Elephas maximus indicus: one gene and its partner. The protein of the gene in region 1 interacts with the protein of each later gene in a biochemical or structural test. Links are inferred from orthologs where the notes say so. Each region holds a gene or a part of one and is shown on either strand. Other genes may lie near its edges.

Region 1 (7,101 bases):
CTACCCACCCAATTTCACTGACAAAGGGGTTCATGAAAAGGCCTTCTCAACATGGCAATCCTCACCCACACTAGGGGAGAGTCTAGAATAGAGGTACGGGAGGCATGTCAGTCTCGGGGTTCCCTTTAACTTGTAAGTATGAAGGATATAGGGGCTCCAGGAAATGGTGGACCTTGAAACCTTGCTCCTGTCTCTTTCACCTGGCTCGGTGCAAGACTCTGTTGTGTGTGTGTTTGAGCGCATGTGCTCGTATGTAGATACCACCTGTTCCAACCACCCTTCCCTGAGGCAGTGTCAGCTTAGTGGGAGGCAGGAGTGGGAATGGAGGGAAAATGGTGAAGCCCCAGCCCCTCCTCTTAGATCTACCCAATTCTGACCTACTGACCTTGGAGGGGCTCCCCTTATCTATCACTCCTGGGGGGGGGGAGAGGTTAGGGGAGCAGTGGGGGGGGGGGGTAGATGTAGGCTCAGAAGAAGGGTAAACAGGCCAGGAACTCCCAAAGGAGCCTGGGTACTTCAGGGTCCTTGGGCTGAAAAGAGACTAGGAAGGTTAGTCATTTCAGCCCCACCCCAACCCCCTTCCTGGCAAGACACCCCCTCTTCCAAGTCAAGGCGCCAATCCTTGTCCCCAGATAAGGGAGGAGCCAAGATCTCTGCATACGGAAGTGGTGTGTGTATGTGTGCACGCACGCACATGTAGGCCCACACATACAAACATGTTTATAGCTCCCCTTCAATCTATATGAGTTCTGCCCTTGGGTTTTCTTATTGGGAAGTATTTCAGGTGTCCCATCCACCGCCAAGTGCGCATATGTGTGTGTGCAGACTCTGTGTCTATGCTTGGAAGGCTAGTTGTTAGAGTTCCATCTCCAGTTCCCTGCCACCCTGAGGGTAAAGTCCATATTACACAAACAGGGAGCAAAGGGCCTGGGCAGGGAGAGGGACGAACAACATCTCTGGGGAGAAGCCAGACAGCTTGAGGAGGGGGACAGGGAGAGAGGAATTTTACAAAAATCCCTAACTGTCCCACAGGGCCAGGGTGATAGGAAGGGTCAGTGTCACAAGCTCTCCTTTGGTAGAGTGAACTGGGTGTGGGGCAGAACAAGAACCTCAAGCCCCTCCTCAACCAAGGGCCTCCCCTCTAACATCCCCCACCCCCATCACAGCCATCATAGCTGGGACAAAGGGGCTATAGAACTGAGACAGGGCCGGATGCCCAGAGGCTGCAGAACCCAGATAAAGGGTAAAGAGACCCAACCATGCTTGCCTCCTGCCTCCCCCAGGGAAGGGGCCAGAATCTGGGACTCCTGGGTTACTGCTTGAAAATTCCAGGGGTCTGGATGGACCAGTGATAGTCACTTCGCTCCTCCCTCCCACTCCAATCCCCAGACCCCCCCCCCCCACCAGCTGGGAGTGTTCATATCTCAAGATCCCAGGGTCTAAATTTAGGCCCAGCAACTGTGGGGGAAGCACAGGTGTTTTCCCACTCCCACCCTGGGGAAGGGGCCCTGGCTGTGCCACACACTGCAAGCTGGTATCTGGGAACAGGAGAGGAGATCAACAGGACTCCTCCAGTTCTGGCACCCCTCAGGTGTCTGCGGTCCCAGAGACACCCCCAAAAAGAGATTAGGTGGCACTGGGGGGAAGGAATAGAGATGAGCAGTCTGGGACTCTTTTCTCCTGGAGTCAAATAAACGAAACTGGGTGAGGAGCTGGGCCTGGGAAGGGCTCTCCAGGGCAGAAGCCTCAGAAGGTGGAAGTAGGGCATTCTTGGCCTCAAGTTGGGGAGAGAAAAGACAAACGGAGAAATAGAGGCTGGAAGCCCTTGTCCCTACAAAGTTCCTGGCCTAGGGTCTAGTATATGGTAGATGCTCGATAAATACTAGTTGAATTGAACTGGGTCTTGCCAAAAAGAAGTTGGCCTCGTAGGGGACCAGCCAGCTTTATTATTTGGAGGGAAAGCGGGCAGCCAGGGTGGGCTGGGCCTCTCACCCTGCTGTCACCTGGACTTGGCCCTCTGGTTAATCTCAGACCTCCCCGGGGCAGGCCACTCACGGAAGAGGAGGTGCAGCTCCTGTTTTCCAACACCAGAGAACAACAACCACCATCACCTCCCCTCCCCACCCCCAATCCTCCCGTAGCTCCGCCCTGTCGGCAAAACAACGAAACTGGAGGTTGCTGAAACTGGGGGGTAGAGACTCCCCCTCCCCCCCGAAGATCTCTACCTCCAATCATCTCCTTACTCTTACGGAATGGAGGTTCCGGCTCCTCTCCCTGAGGGTCCCTCAGAAGTGTGAACTACTGTTTCGCCGTCAGTACCATCAGGGGAACGAATTAGAGGGTCGTTGGCGCGCTAGGGAGAAGGGGGCCCAGGAAGCCGGTCCCTGACCGGACCACGCCGAGAACCCAAGCCACCAAACCTGACCGTCCCCTCCCAGGTGATACCCGCGGAGTCGGGGTCAGAAGCCTCAGCCTCGCACTGTGCGAGACTCGGCGCCTCACACCCTCAGTGGCTCCGCGCACGGTTCGGATCCCGGTTCCGAGTTGGCCAGTGCTTCCCCGCCGCTTACCTGCCTGCGAGCTGCCCACCTCGGAGCCCCGGGCCAGGCTGAGAAGGAAGCCCAGCACCTGCAGAGCCCCGTTCGCCCTCATGACTCCAGCGGAGGGTGAGGGGAGCCCAGCCAAGTCCGGCCCGGGGGCCCCTGGACTAGGACATCGAGGCAGGAGCCACCTGACCCGCCAGCGAAGTGATAGTGGCGGCGGCGGCAGCAAATTACCACCCGAGCCGGAGCCGGAGTCCTGGCGGGTGGCAGAGGAGGGGTGTGTGTCTGTGAGAGGAGGGAGGGAGGGCGCGCAGGGGAGGGGGTGAGTCACGGCCGCGCCCCCTTTCGAGCCGGGCTGGAGGAGTTTGCTGGAGTCTCCGACTGATTGCCCGCCCCGAGCGCGCCCCACACCTCGGCAACTCCGGGACTCCCTCTTCTTCGCCAAGCAGACGAAGAAGGGGTCTCACTCTAACTTTCCTTCCGGAGCTGGGCTACGAAGGCGGAGGTCAAGATTCCAGAAGCCCCCCAAATCCCCGGAAAGGTAATGGGGGCGGGGAGAGAGCGCCAAAGCCCGGCCCCCTGAAAGCTGGCCTCGCCCACTAACCAAATCACTCATCTCCCCTAGCCGGTTGGATCACTTGAGGATTTTCTCTCTGGAGTGAATATTTCTCTCTGTGTGTTTTTGAGGGGGAGGGTGTTGTTTGCTTCACGCTTAGGCCACCTCAGTTTCCCCCGGCTCAAAACCCCACAACTCATCCCCCCTGCCCAGGAACCCGAGCCCAGAGGCCGCGTGAAATTGCACTGTCTCCGGCCGCTTCCTTCTCCAGACCCGGCGCCGGCTCGGCCTCTCCCGGGGATTTGGTTGGGGGGCGGGGGTGGTTTCCAGCCTGGGAACAGACCCCAGAGCCCGCTTTCCAGTTCCACCCTGGGAGGGGCTCCCGCACCTGTCGCCGTCCCCTCTGCTGCCCCCCACGGCCGCCTGGGAGAACAGCTGGCGCCCCTTCCACACTGGAGTCTGTGACCTCGCCGACGGGGCGGCCGTAGCTCTCGCCGGTCGGCTGGGGACCCATATGGGCACACCTCGCCACAGGCGCTCACACCCTCCGGCGCCTCCCAAGCCCGGGCTCGCACTGGAAAGAAGGAAGGGGCAATAGAGACTGCGTCCGTGAATGGCATGGATCCCTGGCACCTCTCGCACCAACTCCCGGATCCAGACCAGAGGCGGTCGGGTGCACCGAGGGTGGCTGCCCAAGGCTGGGCCAGGCCCCTCGACGCACCCAACTGGCGCCCCCTGGTGCCCACCAGCCCCACACGGCGTAGATTTCAGTCCCAGAGATTGGCATTCCGGGTCTTAAACGGAGAGTCGATTTTATTTTCCCCAAAGCTTCAGGCTTGAATAATCAAGAACAATTGTATCTTGATGAAGAAAAATGTCGCCCCTCACCCCAGGCCAAGACAACGGGCTAAAACTTCTCAGACTTTCTCTGTCCACTTCTAGGGCGCTGGCCTCGCCCAGACCACTCACGTGACGGTGGTACTGTAATTGCGACAGCACAAGCCTTTGACATATACAAACATATACCACTTAATTTGTAAAACATTTCCTCAAACTCAGTACCTTAATGAATGTTTCACTTAACAGAAAAACTATACAAACTAGGTGACATTTGTTCCCTTTTTTCACAGAATGGAAAACGGAAGTTCTAGAAACTCGTGATTTATCTAGAAGAATCAGGACGAGGGACTCAGGTTTTTGACTAGGATTTCTTATGCAATACTGAGATTCAAACTCCCATCAGATAACTGAGCTAACATCACTTAGGAATTTCCATCCCTACTTACTCTCCCCCAGATTAGAGGACCTTCTATCGCTCACCACCTCAACCTAGGTTTCAGGGCCCTGGCTGGAAATTCTTCTCATTTTTGGAATATTTCGGACACTCTTAGTTGAAATGTTACCCTAATTTGCAAATCATATATTCAGTAAATTTCAATCAGTTCCTATTGTTGGCTTAATAATATGATTTTTGTTTTAACACACTTCAGACTGGTCTTTCTCGCTCTTTCTCTCTCTCTCTCTCTCTTACCCTAGTGTCCTGGGATTAGGTCAGACACGCTGGAAGGACTCTATGCTTCTTCATGGTCTGTCGGACTCAGCCGCTCAGAGCCCGGCCTACACAAATCAGCTCTGTACTGCAGCCCCTGCTGGCTCATGGCCCCTGTGGGTTCTGTAATTCTCTATAAAGGCTCACAAAATCCACAGAGACTATGACTTGTACTTACATATACTTTATCATAACCTGAAGGAATGCAAACATAGAGACACATTAGGCAGGGTCTGAGAGAGGTCCCAGCATGAGGCTTCCATTGTCCCCAAGGACATGCAGCACCCTCTCCCCTGCGTGGATGTTCTCACCAATTCTGGAATCCCCAAAGAGAGTTCCAAGGTTTAGAGTCCCCTAGTCACTTTTTTTTTTTTTTTTTTAGTCACTGGGACCTCAATGAATGTGCATGTATCAAATTGGAATATGCATTATTGAGGCCTCAGTGCATCATTTTTATCAGTTCAGTCAATGAGTGCGTCACGCCCCTCTCTTCCTCAGGTCTCTTGCCAGGTTGGGGCCTGGGTAGTCCCCTACTTTACACTTGTTTAAATGTGGCTGGGCTGTTTTAGAAAGACAAAGAGTACCTTAATTGCTCAGGCTATTTTTGAAAACCAGAAACAAAAGGCCAAACAGAGTTCCTTGTCCTACATTCTACTGAACAATTGGGCTGGACTCTTTAAACGTGCCAATGTCATAAAAAAAAAAAGTCAAGAGAATCATTTCACGTCAAAGAAGATCAAAAACACAGAACCAAATGCAATGAATGATCCCTGATTGATCCTAGATTTAAAAATAACAACAATAAACCCAGCTAATTGCATATGGACTGTCAGGCAATATTATTGCCTCAGTGTAGGAGGCTTGTCAGAATTGACCATGTCTTTTACTTTTCCAGTGAAGCTCAAGTGCACATGTTCCTCCACCATGTAAAGACCCAAGGGTGATAAAACGGGAGGAGAGTTGGAAGAGAGGTCTAGATGGAGCAAAAATGGGAATTCTTATTGAGGTAAGGATGCAATCTGAATGGGGAGGGTAGAAATGGTGAGTGATTTACATACTTTTCACAGTGGGGAGCTGAGTAGCACTGACCCACTGGAATAAAAATAGGCTCCTCATATAACACATAAACTAGGCCCACCTACTCACTCGCTCACACCGAACTGCTGAGCCTGGGATCACTGGGCTTGAGTAATGACTTACGATTGGGTCTCTGGTGAGACTCCCTGAAGGAGGGTCCGCTGAAGTCAGTCTGTAGAGGGGGCCACCTAGTCTGAAATGCTGTAGTCAGCAAATCAGTTCAGGAAGTGATGAGGTCTTCCCCCCATATCAGGCCATGATCTCCTTAGCCAGTCAATTCCTGGATAGACTTTTAGATGTATGACTGATGGGTTTCTTTCTCCAGCTGACTTCTAGAAACCTTCGGATCCCACCATGCAATGCATAGTTCCCTGGAAAGGCCCCCTATCAGGGCGCTGTTGTTGTGTGCCATTGAGTGGATTTTGACTGATAGCAACCCTATATGATGGAGTAGAACTGCCCTATAGGGTTTCCTAGGCTGAAATCTACCAGAGCAGATGGCCAGGTCTTTTTTCCCATGGAGACACCTGTGGGTTCGAATCACTGACCTTTTGGTTAGCAGCTGAGTGCTTAACCACTTCGCCACCAGGGCTCCTTGACAGGGTGCTGTTGTTGTTAACGTGCTGTCGAGTCGGTTCTGACTCATAGCGAGCGACCCTATGCACAACAGAACTAAACACTGCCCGGTCCTGAGCCATCCTCACACTCGTTGTTATGCTTGAGCTCATTGTTGCAGCCACTGTGTCAATCCACCTCGCTGAGGTTCTCCCCCTTTTCCGCTGACCCTGTACTCGCCAAGCATGATGTCCTTCTCTGAGACTGATCCCTCCTGACAACATGTCCAAAGTATGTAAGACGCAGACTCGCCATTGTTGCTTCTAAGGAGCATTCTGGTTGTACTTCTTCCAAGACAGATTTGTTCCTTCTTTTGGAAGTCCATGGTATAGTCAATATTCTTCACCAACACCACAATTCAAAGGCCTCAATTCTTCTTCAGTCTTCCTTATTCATTGTCCAGCTTTCACATGCATATGAGGCGATTGAAAGCAACATGGCTTGGATCAGGTGCACTTTAGTCCTCAAGGTGATATCTTTGCTTTTCAATGCTTTAAAGAGGTCTTTTGCAGCAGGTTTGCCCAATGCAATGCACCTTTTGATTTCTTGACTGTCGCTTCATGGGTGTTGATTGTGGATACAAGTAAAATGAAATTCTTGACAACTTCAGTCTTTCTTCCGTTTATCATGATGTTGCTTATTGGTCCAGTTGTGAGGATTTTTGTTTTCTTTATTTAAGGTGTAATCCATACTGAAGGCTATGATCTTTGATCTTCATCAATAAGTGCTTCAAGTCCTCTTTACTTTCAGCAAGCAAAACT
Region 2 (7,720 bases), on another chromosome or scaffold:
TTGGCAGCCAGGCAGTGGGGCAAGAACCTTAGGTTGCCGTGAGCACACACAGGCAACGGTACACTCCCACTCCAGGCTGTCCCTCAGCTCTGAGAGCCTCCAGCTGACCACCAGGCCGTTGCCTTGCGGGCTAGCTGGCCAGTGACAGGAGGTGGCTGGGAGGGGGCAGGGAGCGAATGTCCACAGCCGCTGTGCACCTGCCACCTCCACACCCTACTCCATGGCCAGGCATGTCAAAACGGCCTCCTGCCGCCTCTAACTAGGTCATGTGGCTGGTTTCTGTTGCTTAGAAAAGTCCTGCCCCCCACCTCAGGACTTGCACAAAGACTCATGCCCTGGGCCAGCTTCCAGAGCCCCCTCATACCCCCGGGCCCATCTAGGTCCTGGCAGCACGGCACCCCAACCCCAAGTAGCGTGGGGTAAACCCAAGAAGAGCCCCACACCCTCCGCAGCCTCCCCCACCCCCAGATGTGATGAATCAAGCCACATAGCCAGGCCCTCCCAGGGCGGGGGGGGCGGTGCCCAGAAGTAGAAGCAAAGCCATCTGTCCAGCCTTGACCTAGGAGCCAGGGCAGCGGCTGCAGGTCCATCCCAGGCAAACGCAAGCTGGGCCTTCTACTCAGACCTCCCAGAACCCCTGCCCCAGCCCAGCCACAGGTGCATAGCACGGGCCTGTCCAGGCTCAGCCCTGCCCCAACCCTTGAGCAGCCCTGAGGCAGCGTCCGTGTCAAGTGGGGGCCAGGAGGAGACTCACGGCTCTGACTCCACCGTCTCCTTCTCCGCCAAGTAGTTGTGGGGCACGTAGCCCTGGGCCAGGCCCCTGTCTGCTGAGTCCAGCCGAGTGGCCCACCACCATTCCTCCTCCTTCCGGGCCACGTGGAAGAGGTCTCCTGCCCGGAAGCTCAGCTCCTCAGCCGTGCGGGCCTCGAAGTCCCAGAGCCCCACGTACAGGCACAATGGGCCCCGGGACACCATGGTGGACACAGCGGCAGGTCGGGCTGCCTGGCCTGGCTGAAGTGCCGCTGTGCCTGTGGGCACCAGGGCAGGCGGGCAGGTGACGCTCCCTGACAGGTCATCCACCCAGCCACAGGCCCTCCCACTTCCTCCTGACTAGGCAGCCAGGCTGGCCACGCCCTGGCTCCCAGGGGGCCTCCCTGAGGCCACCTGAGCCCCCACCTGTCCTTGTGCCCGCAGGCAGCCAGGCCTGCACTACCCACCATCATCTCTCTGGGCATCTCTTCACAGGAAACATGCCCTTCAGAGTGGCCACTGAAGTGCCCTCAGCCACTCAGCTGGACCTGAGGGGGCCCATTGCAGACAGACCTGAGCCAGGGGCAGGGGTAAGGGGTGGCACTGCAGAGGGACCTGCTGCAGGTGGCTGCAGTTAGCAGCTGACACTCTGATGTGAGTGACAGCCTGAGGTGGAGGAAGAGAGGGGTGGAGAAAGTGGATAGGGGCCACAGGCACTTCCTCCCCCATCTCAGTGAGGAGACAAAGGCACGAGAGGCCAAGAGCAGCTGGTGCCACTCTCCCTAAAGGGTTCACCTCCACTCCCAGCTGCCTCTCTCACCATGGAGCGCTCCACACACTCTGAGGAGCTGGGGTGGGCTGTCGCTGCTCTGGTGGTCCCCCACCATGAGGCACTGCCTGGACTGCCCTTGGCTGCCTCTTCCCCTGTGCCTGTGACAAGCTGAGCCGAGGAAGCAGGTGAGGCTGTGGTAGGATAATAGGAAGAACCTGGAAGGGTGGAAGGGGCCCAAGAGAAGCAGAGGGGCAATGGGTGCAGGGTTGGCCTGAGCCTGGGCTCTCGTCTACGGGTAGGGGTGCCAGCACTGCACAGGTTCCCTGGAGGGCTGCCCCACCTGCTACCTGAGCACCTGCTTGCCTAGAGCAGGCTGGGCAGGCCGAAGCCAGGCAGCTGGCAGACAAGACATGCACGAAGTTGGTAGGGCAGACAGGTGTGGGCTGGCCCGGAACGCTTCCTTGAAGATGTGACTGGGAGACTCTGGGCCCCTGGAAAGCCGGAGCAGGAGAGCCGGCGCAGTGTGTGTCCTGGGAGCACAGGCTCTTGGCCAAAGAAGAGGGCACTACTCTCTTGGACAGGACATGAGGGGCAACCAAGACGGAGAACACACCCGAAAGGAGCCCCATCTTAGGGCCCAGCCTGCATGTGCCTACAGCTTCCACCTCCTGGGTGAGACCCCTCCCCGCCCATTCTTCCCACCTCCCTCTCTGCCCAGCCCAGCAGAATCAAGGTCTGGTCCTCCATGTCCTCTGTTCCCCCCCTCCCGCTCACCCCTACCCCCTCCACTCCCAAGCAAGCCCTGCTTCCTTTCGCCCAGCAGCTGGGGTGAAACCCCTCCACCTGGGTCTCTTTCTGCCCCACCCCCACCACAACACATGTCCTGCATGGGCCAAGACTCTCCCCAGAGCCCCCCACCTCCCTGTTAACCCTGCAACGTCCACCCCAGGGAGCTCCCACCCCTCCTGGGGACAGCCACAGGGGGGCAGGAAGTGCAGAAAAGGTGAGAAGGGCCGGAGCAGGTTTCCAAGTCTGTAAGTAAGGACCCAGAGACCACCCCACAGGAAACTGCTCATGTGAACCTTCACTTTTAAAGAAGGGGAAAAGAGGCACATGGCTGTCTTCATTCTGACATTCAGAGCTGGGACGTGTGTGTCTCAGCCAGACCAGGAAGCAAGCAAGTTTCAGGAGTCAAAAGTCCCAGCCCCTCCCCAAGGCCTATGAACACCAAACCTGTTCAGCTTGTAGAGGCTGACATGCTCAGGAACACGAGGTGACCCAGGTTCCGGCTTGGTGTCCCTCGCCTCCCAACTGTGCTGACTCACTCACGCTGCCTCCGGAAAGCAGGCTAAGACTCTCACAGTATCTGAGACTCTGGTCCATAGGAGTCCCATCCCCCACTGCTGCTGCCCCATGTTGGGGAAGCCCCCCAGAACCCACCCAGCGGACCTGCTGCTGGGCAAGGCAGAAGCAGAGGTGTGGCCTCAGAGGACAGCATCCTCAAGCCCCAAAGGCCAAGCCCTCTGGTCCCGCCCCCTGGCCTGGCCTCCTCTGGCCCCTCCCCCAGCCCCTGAGCCACAGCCAGGCTGCTGGGGTCCCCTCTACTGGTACTGCCTCTGCCTGCAGCCCCCCACCTCTCCCTGACTGCCCCCAGCTTGGGCTACCCTGATATCCTGCCTGTCCTCTCTGCTGCCGCCCTGGAGATGGAGAGGGCAGTTCCCACAGCCACATGAGCCTTTTGGAAGGCAGGGGTCATCTAAGACCCCTGACTCTCCCACAGCCTCCACCAGGTGTGCTGACGCCCCCAGGTGCCACTCTGCCTGGCACAGTTCTGCACCCACCATGCTGAACGCCATGATGCCCTGGGAGCAGCAAGGCCACGTGGGGCCGGCTCTCCCCCTCCGATGCTCACCCCACCCAAGAGAGCCACCATCAGTGACCCCAGCCCTAGGTTCAAGGGAGGCCAAGGGCTGCTGTGTGCGTCTACGCTTGTTTGAGTCGGACAATAAATATTTATTGGGTGTTGGCTCATGTGTGCACAGGTTCACACACAGCCAACTGTGACAGTGCTCTCTCCTGTGTGTGTACAGTGTGTGCCCAGTGAGGTTCACATCGAGGGCAAAGTAAGGGCCCCTGCATCCCAGGACTCCCTGCCCAGTGCCTCCCTGGGCCTGGGCAGACGCAGACTCCACCAGGCCCTTCTGGCTGAGTTCGTCTCCCTGAGACACCAGGGAAGCAGGTCATGCTGACGAAATGACACTCACCAGCTGTCCAGGTGTTTGCACGTGCGTGGGTGTCAGCTCATAAGGCCCACACCAGAGGCTCCATGGGCGTGCAGGCCAGTGGGGTTCCCAGCTGCGGACATCTCTGCACATGTTTCAACAAACATCCTGAGTGGCCACCGGAAGGGAGAGATGGGGCCCCAGTGGTGGTGCCCCGTGCCGGGTCATGTAAGGGCCTGGTGGGGGCGTCTGCAGCCAGTACCCAGCTTCTCCTGCAGCTCAGCAAAGGCTGGCCCCTCCTCGGGGTTGCCCTTTCAGCACTCCAACATGAGTGCATACACCTCCACAGGGCAGGTGGCTGGGCGAGGCAGCCAGTGCCCTCTGGAGATCTGCTGCAACGTCTCATGGTTGGTCATTCCTGGGGAGGGGACCAATGAGCAGGCCCAGGATCATAGTGGACATGTGGCTTGTAAGCCTCTTGATCACCAATCTGCCCCTGGCCAGGCCCTCTGACTGCCAGGGAGAGTCGTGCTTCCTCCCTTGAGTTGACTCCCCAGGCAGAGCCATGCCTCCTCCCTCAGATAAGCATCTGGGTCAAGGTGCACCTCCTCCCTCAGACTAGATCCCCCGAGGAAGTGCCTCCTCCTACAGATGAGTCCCCAGGGCAGGATGTGCCTCCTCTCTCTGACTGGATCCCCTGGCAGGGTGCACCTCCTCCCTGGACACCCTTGAACCTTTGTAGGGACATTGGCCATGGGTGAAGACCTCGAAGAGCAGAACACCAAAGGAAGAGACGTCTGACTTCTGGGAGTAGACATGGTAGTTGGCAGCCTCGGGTGCCGTCCACTTGACAGGGATCTTGGTGCCACTGCTTGGTGCGTAGATGTTCTGGGAAGAGAGGAGAGCACGGTGGGGTAGGTGGGGCAGGACTCCCCCACCCACTGGCCACCCTGAGCCCAAGGCTGCACTGACCTTGAGAAGCCAGGCCAGGCCAAAGTCAGCCACCTTGCAGGCAAGGTCATCGCCCACTAGCACATTCCCGGCTGCCAGGTCTCAGTGCACCATGTGCCGCTCCTCCAGGTAGCCCATGCCCTCGGCCACCTGGCAGGCAAAGCTCAGAAGGTGGGCCAGGCTCAGGGCCTGGCCCTCAGGACCTGCAGGGGGGAAGGGAGGCCTCACTTGGCTCTCTGTCTCCTGTCCTCACCTGGAAGTGTGGTGAAGGCAGCGACCACAAAGGCCTAGGTGGGCAAGTGAGACCTGGCATGGAGCACTGGGCCAGGGCTTGGTGTGCAGGGTCTTGGTATGCAGGGGTGCCTGGCACGTCCTAGCCCTCAGCCACCTGGCCTGGCCTTGGAGACTCCAAAAGACAAGAAAGCCCAGAATGGATAAGTTCCCTAGGCCACACTGCACAGAGGCCAGTGTCCAGATGGGCCTGTCCCCCCACCTCTCCATAAAGCTCAGCTCAGACCCCAGAACGTGACCTTCTGTTGGCCTGAGGCCAAGTAGGGCCAGGTATCTGCAGCCCGAATCACAGTCCTTTGGACCTCCCACCTAGAAGGGATCAGGTGCCATTGTCCACATGAGAGGCAGCTGTGGAACAAAGTGGGCTGGGGCCTGGAAGCAGGGCTGTGTGAGGAAGGGGGAAGTCCTGGCAGAGCTGGGGGCCTGGACAGTACCAGGGTCGAGGTGAGGGGGGAGGTAGGGCGGAAACAGGGAGCTGGACCTGGGCTCCTTGCTTTGCAGGGATGGGACGGAGCCTTGTTGCGGGAGTGGGGTTGGGGCAGAGCTGGAACCTGGGGCTGGTAGGCGGGCAGGGGCGAGGCCCGGGAGCTGGGGCCTGTAGCCTCAGGGTGGGGCAGAGGGGCAGGGCAGGCAGGACAGGGTCAGCGGTGAGAGGTGAGAGGGTGCGGGGAGTGGTCAGTGCAGGGCAGCAGAGCCACTCACTGCCCAGGTAGGCCTGCAGGTTGCCCTTGCATATGAGCTCGGTAACGATGTACACAGGCCGCCCCGTGGAGCACACCTCATGCAGCTGGATGACCCGCTCGTTCTTGAGGCTCTTGAGGGTCTGGATCTCCTTGGCGAGGTCCGTGAGCTTCATGTTGGCTGCGGGGACAGGCACCAATGAGGCTCGGTGGCCACAACCTGCCCCCCGCCCCTGCCTCAGGGGACTCAAGGGATAAGAGGGCCTCGCAAGCCCACCCACCTGATTTGATGACCTTGATCACCACTAGCACGGAGCCCAGCCACAGGTCTTCCCACACCATCCCTCAGTAGCCTTCACCCAGCTTCTTCCACAGGGCGAACTTGGCGCACGGCTGCTCCCACTCGTCCCACCCCGGGGGCTTCTGCAAGTTTGGAGGCTCAGTATCTCTGCCCGTGCTCTCCAGGAGAGGGGGTCCGGACTAAGAAGGGTCTCAGGGTGGGGGTGGGGGTAGGGGCTGCAGACAGGGCCCTGTCTTCCTGTTAAGTCCTGGGAGCCCCTCACCTCACGCCTCAAAGTGCTCCTGCCTCCAACTGGGATCAAGGGGACACAGGTTGCTGACCTCAGGAGGGCCTGACCCAGTGTCTCAGGGACGTAAGTGGCCCCTTTGCCCAAGCCGGACATCCGTCCACGAACACTCATTGCTGTGCTGGCTGGACTAGAGGAACCAGGACAGCATGCCTGGGTGATCCGGGAGATACTGAGGCTCCGGATCAGTGATCACCGTCTCCCTCCCACAGCTTCCTTCCGTGGCACAGACTCGGCTCTGCCCTCCCAGCACCCTCCTCCACCCCCCCAACTGGGCTTCACATCCCTCAGGGTCTTTCGGCAATGGAGATAAGAGGCTTGGGAGGGAGTGGCCCCCACTCTGGGAAGTATATTGAGGGAAACTGTGCCCAGGAATCTGCCTGCCCATTGAGCCCCCCCATCGATTATGGAGAGCAGTGGGAGGGGGGCAGTGGGGGCCTGGTTGCTGGGCAGGTGGGTACACCTGGGACACGCAGGGCTGCAGCAGTGGATTCTGGACTAGCTTCCAGTTGGTCTTGCAGTAGGCAAGCAGCTCCTCCATGCTGGGGAAGAGCCGGACCTTCTGTAGGTAGGGGCTGCCCTCGGCCACCGAGGAGATGCGGTAGTGGCAGACCCTGGCCTGGGCCTGGACTGGAGCTGTGAGAGATGGAGACCACGTCTTGGCTGTGTCCTGCCTGCCTCAGACCTCCACCACCTCTGACAGATGAGGTCCATTGCCCCCCCGAGGGACCTGGCTCAGATCCAGCCTTACAGCCCCAGCCACTTGGGCAGCTGCAGACCAGGGAGTGGTGAGAGGGGACCGGCAGTCCGGGGACAGCATGCACTGAGCTGGGCTCAGAGTGGGTGCACAAGAGACACTTGTTAAATGAACGTGTGAGTAGCGAATAGATGACTAAGTGAATGAATGGATAAGCAAACAACTGGATAATGAATGAGTGAGGGACTGAGTAAGTGAACTGACTAACAAGTGAATAAATGAACAAATGAATAAATAAAGGGATGAGTGAATGAAGGGGTAAGTGAAAGAATGAGTTAATACGTGAATAAATGACCAGGAGAATGAATTAATGAGTAAGTGAACCAGCAATCACGTGAAGTGACCAGCACGCCCCCAGTCCAGCCCTTGGTAGGCACATGTCTGCAGGTGAAGGGCTTTTCAGCTGGCTTGGGCTCAGGGCTCACCAGAGGGACGGGCCACCCGGAGTACCTGACAGGGAGTAATCCCCGCAGCTGCTCTCGCTGGGCTGGATGAGGAAGGTTCCAGGTGCTTTGGCAGGCGAAAGAAGCCGCTGCTGGGCCTCAGTCCTGCTGATCCTGCTGAAGTACCAGCTGCAAGTGGCAGGCACAGCAGTCATCGTGCTGGCTGGCCAAGTGGCTCGGTCCCCAGTGTCCCGCTCTGTGTCCTGTCTTCTCTAAGTGATGTCCTGCCCGGGTCCAACCCCCAGTGAGCACCCAATGCCTCCTGCT

Evidence for each region. The genes of interacting proteins can lie anywhere in the genome.
Region 2: the proteins of ERBB3 (region 1) and PTK6 form a complex in vitro, tested with the Homo sapiens proteins (2 studies listed by BioGRID and IntAct, with this or other methods). The link is inferred for Elephas maximus indicus from reciprocal best matches to the Homo sapiens genes ERBB3 and PTK6.

The regions. Positions count from the first base shown.
Region 1 is NC_064822.1:116,043,672-116,050,772, reverse strand, and holds the start of ERBB3 (receptor tyrosine-protein kinase erbB-3), read right to left. Parts: upstream 3,017-7,101; 5' UTR 2,653-3,016; coding exon 2,571-2,652; intron 1-2,570. UniProt on the Homo sapiens protein: Tyrosine-protein kinase that plays an essential role as cell surface receptor for neuregulins.
Region 2 is NC_064843.1:4,495,474-4,503,193, reverse strand, and holds the start of PTK6 (protein-tyrosine kinase 6), read right to left. Parts: upstream 3,001-7,720; 5' UTR 2,756-3,000; intron 2,181-2,755; exon of another isoform or gene 1,738-2,180; 5' UTR 976-1,737; coding exon 755-975; intron 1-754. UniProt on the Homo sapiens protein: Non-receptor tyrosine-protein kinase implicated in the regulation of a variety of signaling pathways that control the differentiation and maintenance of normal epithelia, as well as tumor growth.